Drosophila melanogaster: one gene and its partner. The protein of the gene in region 2 purifies or fractionates together with the protein of the main gene of each other region. This does not show direct contact. Each region holds a gene or a part of one and is shown on either strand. Other genes may lie near its edges.

Region 1 (7,209 bases), on a different chromosome or scaffold from region 2:
AAAACCAATGACGAATTTATCTGCGGAGGATCGGTAATTACTAACAAATTCGTCTTGACGGCCGCTCATTGTATGTGCACCGATGAGGAATGCATTGTAAAGTACACTCAGCTGTAAGCACCTTAAATTAATAAATAATATAATATAATTGAATAATTATATGTGATTTGCAGCACAGTTACCTTGGGTGTGTACCATCTACTGGCGACGGGTGAACACAATCATCCCCACGAGATATACAACGTGGAGAGGGTCTACATCCACGATTCCTTCGCGATACAAAACTATCGCAATGACATAGCGCTTCTTAGGTTGCAAAAAAGTATCGTTTACAAGCCACAAATCAAACCGTTATGTATTTTACTGAACGACCAACTCAAGCCGCAAACGGATCTCATCCAGGAGTTCACAGCAATCGGCTGGGGCGTAACGGGCAATGGGAAGATGAGTAACAATCTTCAAATGGTCAAGATCTACAGAATAGATAGGAAAATGTGCGAGGCAGCATTTTGGTACACTTTTGATTACCCAATGTTCTGTGCCGGCACCGCGGTAGGCAGAGATACCTGCAAAAGGGACTCCGGTGGACCCTTGTACATACATATGTTGTTCGATGGCATCAAGCGAGCAACGCAGTTGGGAATCGTCAGCACTGGCACCGAAGATTGCAGAGGTTTCGGTATGTACACCGATGTAATGGGCCATATCGACTTTATCGAGCGCATTGTTCTGGATGCGGACATTGAGGTGGTGCTACCCTATATAGACCTACTCGATGCTGGGTGTCTGGGCAACGACACGTTGAACAGCTGGGATAGAAGTGGTCCCGATGCGATCAGGTCCTTCGAGTGGTTGGCTGAGGTCTACAAGGATTCCTTTATAATCTCAAACGGCGCACTTATTTCGAAAAGTTGTCATCTTTTCTTTCCTCATTCGAAAAGATTACTAATGTGTTCTTCTTGTAGCTTTCGTGGTGACAACGGCGCAGTTGATTTCCGAAAGTACGGCATTGTAAGTACTTTGATCCCTTGGGAGGAGAAAGTTGAGTAATCTGAGTGCAATTGTATGTACATACATCTAGAAAGGTTCAACTGGGACAAGGCGATGTGCATACCTACGCTGTCGCATCTGTTCACAAGCATCCCAAATTCGTTAGCCTGGCCCAAAACGACATAGCTCTGCTTAAACTGGGCGAGGAAGTGCAGTACACGGGTGAGTGTCTTCCAAAGGCCATACGGATTAGCTTCATAATCATAATGTGTTCATTTTATGCGGCTAGAATCGATTCGACCGATCTGCCTGCCCTCGCTAAGCAACAAAGCGGAGCAGCAGAAGTTCCAAAGGCGTGCTGCTGATCCCGCCCTGAATCTCATAGCCGTTGGCTGGGGCACGCCGACTAACGTGGTGGTGCGGCGAACAAATGCCAGTAAGTGCTACCGGGAGGATCACCAAGACATCGGAGAGCAACAGTTGTGCATGGAAAGCCCTTCTCCTCATCTCCTGCGCGTGGGCATTGGCAGTCCCTTGGTAAACCCTCTAACCCACGGAAACAGGAGGGCATTCAGCCTGGTCGGACTGGCGAGCTTTGGCAGGTTAGAGCCTTTCGCTTCAAATGTCTACACCAATGTTCTCGAATACTTGGACTGGATCGGGGAAATGGTTAAGGCGTAGAGAATTCTTTGAAAAGTTTTAAGTTCTGCGATATGAAAACCATTTGATTTAATAAAGTTAATAGTAATAATAATATCAAAAATTTCATATACTGTAAGCCCACTTAACGAGAAGTTTAAATGCTTGCAAAATTACTTATATATTCAGAAATACTATTTTAGTAATAGTTGTTATTAAATGTATTGTAATTTCTTTTAAAATTCCATTTCAACAAAAACTTAACAAACAATAATTTAAATTTGAAATTTTTTGCAAAATTATTTATATTAAAATTTGCTGTTTTAGTATTTTCCAGCATTTGCGGTCGGTCACACTGAAATTCAAGCAAGAAGCAGCACGCGCCGCAGAAATTTGCCAATAATTTTCGTCCTCGCAAGCGTCGCAAGAGGAGGCGTCGTGTGATGGAAATGGCAACGGGAGCAGTATCTGGAGCAGCCGCAGCGGGTGCTGGAGCGTCGGTGGAGCAGCTGGTAGCCCAGACACTGCAGGCGGCCACAAATCCGAGCCATGAGATTGTCCAGAAGGCGGAGGCGCAGCTGCGCGAGTGGGAGCAGCAGCCGGGCTTCTTTCCCACGATTGCCCGTCTGAGCATGCGACGAGGTGGCGGCGGCGACGTGGTGTCCAGTACGGAGGACTCCGAGGTGAAGGTGCGCTGGATGGCGGCTGTCTACCTAAAGAATGGCGTGGAGCGCTATTGGCGGCCCAATTCGCGGCAGGAACTGCCCGCGGAGCAAAAGCAGCAGATCCGGGAAGTACTTCTGCGTCACTACGACGCAGAGGAAGTGCCCCAGGTAGCCCTGCAGGTAGCCGTGCTCCTGGGTCGCCTGGCACGCACGGATTACCCGCGATTTTGGCCGGATCTGCTGCCGACACTCATGAAGCAGCTGCAGTCCTGCGGTACGGATGGGGATTCGGCCCTGCAGCAGCGAATTCTTATTGTCCTACACTATGTCCTCAAGGCCCTGGCCTCACGGCGTCTGATGGCCGAGCAGCGTGCCTTCCAGGAGCTGGGCTTACAGATATTTGGATATCTGGCGTGGGACATTTGGGCACCACTTACGACGCGCTTTTTGCAGCTCGTGCGAAAGGACGAGGCCATGGCCCTCAATGCCCTTCAACGGGCGTATGTGGTGATGAGAACCCTGCGCAAGCTGGTGGTCTACGGCTGTGCCAAGCCGTACAAGTCCACGGATCACATGAACTTTGTGGAGCAGCTTTTCCAGCGGTTGCGACAGTGCCTCGAACTGCGCTATGAACTGAAAGTGGGATCGGCCACACCAGGCACTGCCACGATACTCACCGAATTGGAGCGCTTTGTGATTAAGATGATGAAGACCCTCAATGAACTGATGGAGCGGCATTCTGTGTCCTTTGCGAGGTTCGTTCCTGTGGCCCTGGAGTTCAGCTTCCACTATGTGTTCCACGAGGGCACCGCCCTCATTTTCGACGCCGGCGATCGCATTAACTTTAAAAACTTTGCCATACAGGCGCTGAACATGCTGAAAGGTATCATGCTGAGCGGCAACGATAGCATCAGTGCTCCGCCCGAAGGTGGTGCTCACATAGAGGATGAGCTGTTAGCCAGCGCTGCTCAAAGCCAAGCCAAGTTCTTCACAGCGGAGCGAGTGACCTACATCTGTGAGAAGATCGTGACGCACTATTTTCTGCTCACTCAACAGGAGCTGGAGGAGTGGCAGCAGGATCCAGAGGGCTATGACCAGGACGACGGCGGTGGTGATGCTTGGAAGTACGCCTTAAGGCCAAGCGTGGAGACCCTTTATTTCACATGTTTTACTCAGCATTCGCAAGTGATGATTCCGGAGGTGCTCCGTTTCGTAAGGCGTGCCCAGCAATTGCAGCTGACCCCGGAATCTGACCTGAAGGCCATTCTACTGAAAGACGCTATCTACAATGCCGTAGGCCAGGCAGCCTTTCATTTCTTTAACAAGCTGGACTTTGGCGCATGGCTGACATCCCAATTGCTTGCGGAGCTGCGCGTGGAAGCTCTGAACTTTCGGATCCTACGGCGTCGCATCATCTGGCTGGTAGGCCATTGGGTTGGCGTCCAGTTGCCCAGAGAACTGAGACCGCTGGCTTACGAAGCATGCCTGCATCTTCTCCGGCCGCAGGAGGACATGCCCACCAGGTTGGCCGCTGCCAGGACGTTGAATCTGTTGATCGACGATTTTGAGTTTATGCCGGAAGCGTTCCACCCGTATTTTCCATCCCTCTTCGAGGCCCTCTTTTTGCTGCTCCATGAGGCCGGCGAGTGCGACACCAAGATCGTGGTGCTGGGCACGATGACGCTACTTGTGGAGAAGATGAGCGAGTACATCGAGCCGCAGGCATTGCAGTTCATTGCGTATTTACCCCTCCTGTGGCGCGAGAGCGAGGAACACGACCTTCTGCGCTGCGCCATCATTGGCACCCTAGAGCAGCTGGTTCGAACGATACGGGATGTCCCAGAGCCCATGAAGCCCTTCCTCTACAGCGTGATCGAGCTGAGCACGGATCTTCAGGTGAGTGATTTTTTATGTTTAATTCCATATGCTATACATTTTTTTTTATTTATTTACAATAAGAATTTTTACATAGTTGAGTCAGTTTTGAGTCCAGCGGGTAATACTGAGTATCCAGTTAGTAAAACTTGGAACGTATGTGTAGACTCCTGGCCCTCGACACAAGTAGTGACCATAGCTGACAATACCTAGCTGAACGGTGCGGGTTATGCGGCCATTTGACATTTTCCTCGACAGCGGACCGCCTGAGTCACCGCTACAGGTGTCCGCCCGCCATTGTCCAGCGCAGAACTGACCGTATGAAAGCGAAGTGCGCAGGGATCGCTCACAGTCGCTTTGGTCAAGCCTGATCAGGTTCACTGTTTGCAGAACTGTGGCGGTGTTGATTAGATCAATCTTACCCCATCCAGCGGCCTCGTAGGTGGAACTATAAGGTACTTGGCCTGGATCCCGGAACAGACAAATTGGTCGAATGAACACTGCAAATGAGAATAATAGTAAAGTAACTGTAATGCACACCGCTTAGTAGATCCGTTCATCCGTAGAGCAATATAAAATTGGGGATAAACTAAATTGATACATATGATGGCATCTAACATTTGTAAACGACGGTTCCATTTAGTTTAAGCAATCCAATGTCGTTGCGACTGTCTTGTCTTCCACCGAAGAATGTATGGATGTAGGCGTTCTCTACGCTGTACTCCTCATACGTCGGAATACAGAACTCAGATGTACAATCGATGCGTGTCGATGTGTCGTATTCCCCAAGGCGAACCGTTCTGTGTTTTAGAATTAATTTAGTTTAAAAATCAAATACGAGCTTATACTTTATACTAACAACAAATGGAAGCTGTGCAGGCAGTGCGCTGCGGTGAGTACAAACCCTAGGAAAATCATTGTTAAAAATACAATTCGTAAATCACAAATTTCCGAAGGTACAAACTTTTTGTGATCAATGTGCCTGTACAAACTAAAGACGAGTTTTTGTGCAAGTAGGCCAACCACGGATTAGATCCTATATCTGCAGTTCTACCTCCAACGATTCTATTCGTGGGCGGAAGATTGATGGTAGTTCCGCAATTGGGATCAATAAACTGGGCTCTTAGTTTTGGTGTTAGACAAACCAGAAAGGCGAAACTAGCAATCCACAGCGATTTCATCTTGAGGTCAACACTGGCTGTACTGATTATTTTTAATGGTTTAGCATTCATTCTTTCACAACAATCTTATCTGTAACTAAGCTAAAATATAGCATTTTATGAAACCGCAATGAGTAACAATACCTAACTTTTTTTCGCACAGCAACCCTCGCACGTCTACCTCATCGAAGATGGTATCATGCTCTGGCTGGCGGTGATTGGGAACTCGACTGCACTGACACCCGAACTACTTGGTCTGTGCGACCACCTTCTGCCTATTATCGAGATGTCATCGGAGAACCTGCGCACCGTGCTGCAGCTGATTCATGCCTATATACTGCTGGACGCTCAGGCCTATCTGAGTCGTTACGGTGAGGGTTTCGTGGCCTACTGCGTGCGCTCTTTCGAGGACATACGTGTGGAGGGAATAATTGCCATGCTGCGGATCATCGAGACATGCCTGAAAACGGACGCGGCGTTGGGACTGCGGCTGGTGCGCCCAGCACTGCCCTTTGTCTTCCAGCAGGTGTGCCTTAAGCAGGAGTATCCCATGACAATGGGATGGTATCTGACCATCGTGGCCCGCACCCTGCTCATTGACCAGTCTGTTTTCATGTCGGTGGTACAGCAATTGCCACAAGCGGACGCTTTGGCCCGCATCCTGGACGTTTGGATCGAGATGTTCCCAATGGTTCCCGACACGCACGCAGAGAAGAGAAAGCTCTTCTGCCTGGCCTTCGCCTCGATCTTTGGAAGCAATGAGCTGCTGCTTGCTCGCCTGCCACATATCCTGCAGCTGGTGGACGAAACGTTGGGCGAAGTGATGGACAAGCAGTACGCCGCCACCGAGGAGGGTGCGTCACAGGCCACGCCTCGCTTCTATGATTCATTGGTCATTCATGACGAACACGAGCTGGACGATCTGCAGCAGCAGCTGGGCAGTGGCGGCGGTGTCAGCGAGGAATTTCACACCAAGGGCTACCCGGCCAAGACCTATCACGACGACCGCCACAGGCAGTTGGTGCTCAAAGATCCCGTTTACAAGATCCCCCTTACCGAGTATCTCAAGTGGCAGCTGCAGTCGTTGCAGGCACAGCTGGGATCCCAGCGATATGAGCAGGTAATGTGCTCCGTGGTTCCCGAGGTACGGGAAAGGATTACCATGTACATAGAGCAGACTGTGCCCAAGGCCTGTGTGGTGTGCGCGGGCTCCGGCTCCGGATCGGGAGCGCCTGCGGACAGGACGCTCTCCGAACAGGTGGAGTCCGGCTGATTCCGGACTGCTGTGCTTTAAAAGCTTTCTACGCTAAGTTATTAATGTATTTTGTATTGAAATTATATATTTTTAATTGTTAAAAACTATGTTCTACGCGTTAATCCACCGCCGGTCTGCGCTCCATTTTGCCTCTAAGCAGCGCACATATCGTTTCCTCCTTCTGCTGTAACTTATGACGCAACTTGTCCATTTCTTCTGCATTCCGGGCATGCAATCCGCGCAATTGTGACTCCTTGTGCTGGACAAGTACTTCCAGGCGGCGTACCGCCTCGTAGGTATCGCGCACCTCAGCCTGCCCTGCCTCCAGCTTTTGGGCCCACTGCAGCGCCATTCTCAGACGAGCCTTAAGCCGATCTCTGCTGTGCTTGGCTTTTTCCGTGCTGCGGACCAGTGAAGCTGCCCGTGCGGTGGTGGCTTGCAGCTGTTCCTGGAGGCAAGTTCGCTCTCTCGCATGCTCCTGCCGCAATTGCTCAAGCAGGGCTTTGCACTGATGCAGTGCCTCGGATTCGGCGGGAACTGGAGGAGCAACCGCAGCGGGCGCCGCCGATGAGGCACTTTTAAGCGCGGCTAGTTCGGATTTAGTTCGCGCGTAGGCCGCCTGCAG
Region 2 (4,838 bases):
TTTAGTTACAAAAGTGGACGATTTCAACTAAACGATTATTTTTAGTAGCTTATTTATAGCTTTAATTCTCTGTAAATATGTATAACAAAAATATTGTAAGTAAAAAAAATCCATTTATTTTGCAATTACACATTTTGATTTATATAGTGATCTATTCGGTTTTAATATAATTTCGCCGAAGTATTCTAGAAAAGCGACCTTTAATAAGCAACCGAAATACTTTGCGATCCTTAACGCTTAAATGGGCGTCCGAAATGAAGTTCGTTTCTGGCATATAGCTGGGTATAAATTTCGAGTTAACTGTAAATCCCTTTGCGTAATACCGTTTATTCTAAAACACAATTTCCAAAATACGATATTAGAGAGTTTTATACAATTTCTTACCAGTGTTAATTACCATTTTCAACGGACATTGTATAGGAAAATTGGCGGTTTCGCGAAGCTGCGTAGTAACCATTCTAAATAAAAAATGATTTTCCACACTTGATAGCATCTGACAATAGTCTACATGTGAAGAGGTAAAATTCGTCACGTATGAACCTCTCTTAAATGTCAAAATGTAAATGCCCTTCAGGTCCTCAACATCTTGGGTTAATATGAACTCTGCGTATATTGAACCAGTGGGGTGGGAAGTTTCATTTAAGTAGCAGCTTACGTTTCTCACCAATTCTGGCATATAATTGAGGCACTCAATTTTCGTCATAAAAACTTCTTTCTATACGTTGAGATAGGTTAATGTAGTAGGACTTACATATATGATTCTATACTACTGACCTCTGCACGAACACTGCTCAAGATTAGGGTCCCCAGAATCAGGTCAACCAATATAAAAAGCTTTTTGACGTTCATACTAGTGGATAACTAATTGAAGACTAAAATCTAATGCATTTCAAACGCACGTAGGTGTGTATATTTTAAAATAAATGGGTTTTTAATGTGCTCAATTAGTGTATTACCTAATTTGTAATTGCTTATTTTTGTTGATAGAACATTAATATCGGTAAATTATTTGGACTTTTCAAGTTGGAGATGCGCAAAGTACTAATAGTATAAAATAATACTATAAAATTATTATATTATAATATATTATAATATTATATTATAATAATTAATACGGATTAGAGTGGGAGATCTGAAACAAATTTGCACGAATATGAAGCATTTAGAATCAGCTTAATAATAGTTTTCTAGTAATAACATATTGAAATAATTTGTATTCTTAAAAAAGAAAAACGGGTTTAAGATGAGTGATGATTTAGCTAGAACTTATACGTTTTCTTTATTTTACTGCGAACGCGATTTTACTGAATATAATTTCTATCAAAGCCCTTGAAGTAATTATCTTGATACCTATTAATTCTTCTTTAAATGGGCTATCCATACTATTACGCATTTATATTTAATTTATTTTTGATTTCTATGACTAATTTCTTGGTTAGATTCAGGACGATTTCATCATATTTTGAATAAGTGGTGCGAAATTACTTTTTTATTGGTCCATTCGACCAGTCTAGCATACAAAATATTTTCGTTAATAACATTGCATAAATTTATAGCTCTAATATATTTTATAATGACTTATTTATTTTGCAGAAACTTGTTTCAAAAAATTAACGTTTGGTGATTCGTTTGGTGATTACGTTACGTGATTCCGGGCAGGCCTTACGTTTCACGTAGCTCTGTTCCGTTTACCAAATCGTTTCGCGAGCTTTTTGGACCGGCGCATTTGTAATTCCATCTCTCTATTTTTCCTCCCCCGCATTTCTTAATCGTTATCGCTCTCTCTCTGCGAATTTTGCAAAACAACGGCCGGCCGTTTGGAAAAGTCGGAAGAAAGTCAGTTGGCAAGTGGAAATCACCGGAAAAACTACACAGCGCGGCAGAAGGAAAAACGTGAAAATCGCAGACGCTTACACCGCAGACGGGAAATAAAAAAAGCCAAAAAGCAGCCGCGAAAGGCAGCGCAGTCGACGTTGGCAGCGCCGAGGGCTGATAACAATAGTTAATAACAATAACAAAGCGGAATAAAAACAAAAGAGAGAAGCACATGAAAAGATAATATGTAAAAACCGAAACAAACAAAAAATCGCGCGTTTAATTAACGGACATACGACGTGAGCAGCGCGGTCGACGCCGCAGTCGCAGTTGGCGTCGCAGTCGCCGTCGCGCATTGGTGTGTGTTTGTGTGAGTGTGCGTGAGTATCTGTGTGAGCTGGAGATATAAAACTGCAATTGATTGCAATTTCGGCGGCATTTGCAAAATAGCAAGCCGGCGAAGAACACAAAACCGAGAAATCGAGAGATCTGCAAATAAAATATACAAACAAATAAAAATATATTAGTAATAAACTTATACAAAAACACAACAAATATAAAATCAGCACAACAAAAACACAGCCAAACGGTAAAGATACGAAAAAGCTAACTCATTTGTGTATCTAAAATAATAACAAAAAGCAATTCGAAAATGAGTACTTCTTGCATTTGTGTGAGCGCAGCTGTTGATGAAAGTGAAGGAAAATCATTCACATTTTCTACGGGAAAATGGGAAAGACAACAACAGCCACACACTCACACAGCTGCAAAAGAAAAGAGAGCACAGAGAGCTAAACTCAGACGACGCCAAGTTCTTTTTTTCCGCTTTTCCGTTGTTTGCATTTTATTTTTGTTTTCTGTTGTGTTTTTCGCACACAGGGAGGAAAACTCAGCCACTTATAAGTTTAAATTTTGAGTGTACACATCTTGTTTCAGTTGTTGTTTGTTTAAGAACATAAACTTTTTATAAATTCAAATGTTAAACGTAGATATTTCGACGTAGCTTTAAAGGACTAAATACTCTTTATATTGCTTTTTTTGCCCAGAATATAAAAGAATATATTTAACTTTACATAAGCTTATATTTCCAACAACGCTAAAAATACACTTTTTAACTTGTTGATTTCTTGACCATTTTTGTTAAAGTTTTTCGGAATTTCACATTTTTTTTATAAATGTAAGTTCGAATATTTATTTCTTTTTCCTTATTACACCTTATTACACTTTATTAAAGTTCATTCAAGTTCATTAACAAAGACAATATTATTTTTAATTAAAGTCTAAATTTGAACGATTTTTTTTGCATTTGTGGAATAATGTTGAAAACAATAAGATTGTTGTAAATAATCAATAAAGAATTGATCCAAGACAGGTCAATTTTTTTCTGTGTACATTTACGAGTCGAGTTCACAAGCCAGACAGCACTGTTGCTTTTGCTGCTGTTTTTGTGAGAGTATCTCATAGCTAGCTACCTAGCTGCAAAAAGTATCTAGATACTTTTGCCGAGTTTCCTACTCTTTTATCCGGCTGTCTGTTTATTGAGACGCGTCTTCAAGTTTTTTCCCCACATCATTGCATTCTTTAATTCCCTACATTTTAAATAGGAGCAGTTTCAGATGTTTCGAAATATTTATAAATATTTTCTTGCACTCGCATGTTGGCCGGCAGTCAAAGTAACACTCAACTTCAACTTCTGTCTGCGCACTCTAATTGAGTTAGTCTGGCATTTCAATGGGAGCAGCAAGCACACGCACCGCTTCTGGTCGAAAGGGGCGGAATGGTATTAGCAAGAAATGGGGGCGGGGCCGGGCTCCAGACTCAGCGGGTGGGAAATCCGGGGGGTGGCTCTTGCAGGGGTCACAGCCTAACCCGTGTGTTAAATTATGCAAAACGCTAAGGGAATGTCGAAGCAATAAGTGCAGAAATGTTTACATTCTCTGGCCAACGAAGAATATTATTCATATTTGCGTTTGGGTTAAATAAATAGGAAATTTGGTCATTTTGGTTAATTATTTTCCTAAATAATAATTAATTTTTGTTTCTTGTTATTTCTAATTATGCAATATTTATTTAGTTCTTTGAAGTAATGATTAAACCCAATCTTAATTTTAATTTCCCTCTACTTCCTTCTGATTGAGTGTATTAAATATTTCACTGAAATATTTTTCTTTTTCATTAATGCAAATGGCTTTTGAACTATTCCACACACCCACTGGTGTCTCATTTATATCTTCGCAAAGCACATTCATAAAAAAGGAACCTACAATTTCGCTCCAAACAACTTTTTTATCATAGCCCGGCTTACACGTACGAACACATATATTTTTGGGTATTTTAAAGGGTTAACACACGCTATACGACTGCCAAACTTTTCCACGTTGGCTTTTTGTGCTGGTCCTTTTATTTTGTGAAAATGTTTGGCATTTTTTGTATTAAATTGTCAGTGAAACGAGCGTTGGACCGTTTCCGAGGGGCATGGCAACAATTCAAAACGTGAACTGCCACTAAAACATGCCAAAAATCTGCGCATTTAAAATATTTGCCCCAGAGCCCATTGAGATCCAGCCAAGCGATGGATGGGCGGCGGAAGGGGAAAAGAGGAAAAATGCAGGCATTTTCCTGCGATTTGATTTAGTTGTTGTTGGCCGGGTTACACCTTTTCACTCACACCTGTCGTCTGTGTTTTTCTATTTTCAATTTTTTTTTCAGCAAACTACACGTCTGCGTTTTGGTTGCCCCCTGCAAGTCCTTTGTTTTCTATTTAATAGCTGTTTTAGCCACTTGCACGTGATCAACAATTAATTGGCAATATCTTTTTCAGGTTCGTCAAATCAAGCGGATCTCTCCAGCCAAAATAATCAGCAATCTGATGTAGCAAACGCCTATATATAGAATATACGAAAATGCAACCATTCCGTTCCGCGCCGTGCTAATGCAAACGTATACGATCCGAAACCGATAAATATAGAAATACAATAAACCCAAGTGAAATAGCAATTTTAAACGCCAATAAAAACAAAATA

Evidence for each region.
Region 1: the proteins of fz2 (region 2) and Impbeta11 purify together in Drosophila melanogaster (affinity purification with western blotting, with the first as the bait; one study listed by BioGRID). This does not show direct contact.

The regions. Positions count from the first base shown.
Region 1 is NT_033778.4:15,680,733-15,687,941, forward strand, and holds Impbeta11 (importin beta11), read left to right. Parts: upstream 1-1,986; 5' UTR 1,987-2,072; coding exon 2,073-4,190; exon of another isoform or gene 4,191-4,201; intron 4,202-4,271; coding exon of another isoform or gene 4,272-4,669; intron 4,670-4,787; coding exon of another isoform or gene 4,788-4,969; intron 4,970-5,028; coding exon of another isoform or gene 5,029-5,074; intron 5,075-5,133; coding exon of another isoform or gene 5,134-5,350; intron 5,351-5,492; coding exon 5,493-6,602; 3' UTR 6,603-6,683; downstream 6,684-7,209. Other genes in the region: CG30091 (uncharacterized protein), read left to right, coding at 1-113, 174-910, 966-1,011, 1,082-1,212, 1,280-1,671; CG30082 (uncharacterized protein), read right to left, coding at 4,272-4,669, 4,788-4,969, 5,029-5,074, 5,134-5,350; Cep89 (centrosomal protein 89kDa), read right to left, coding at 6,703-7,209.
Region 2 is NT_037436.4:19,232,371-19,237,208, reverse strand, and holds the start of fz2 (frizzled 2), read left to right. Parts: upstream 1-1,835; 5' UTR 1,836-2,195; exon of another isoform or gene 2,196-2,404; intron 2,405-4,636; 5' UTR 4,637-4,838. Other genes in the region: CG33647 (uncharacterized protein), read right to left, coding at 152-331, 398-715, 775-849. UniProt on the Drosophila melanogaster protein: Receptor for Wnt proteins.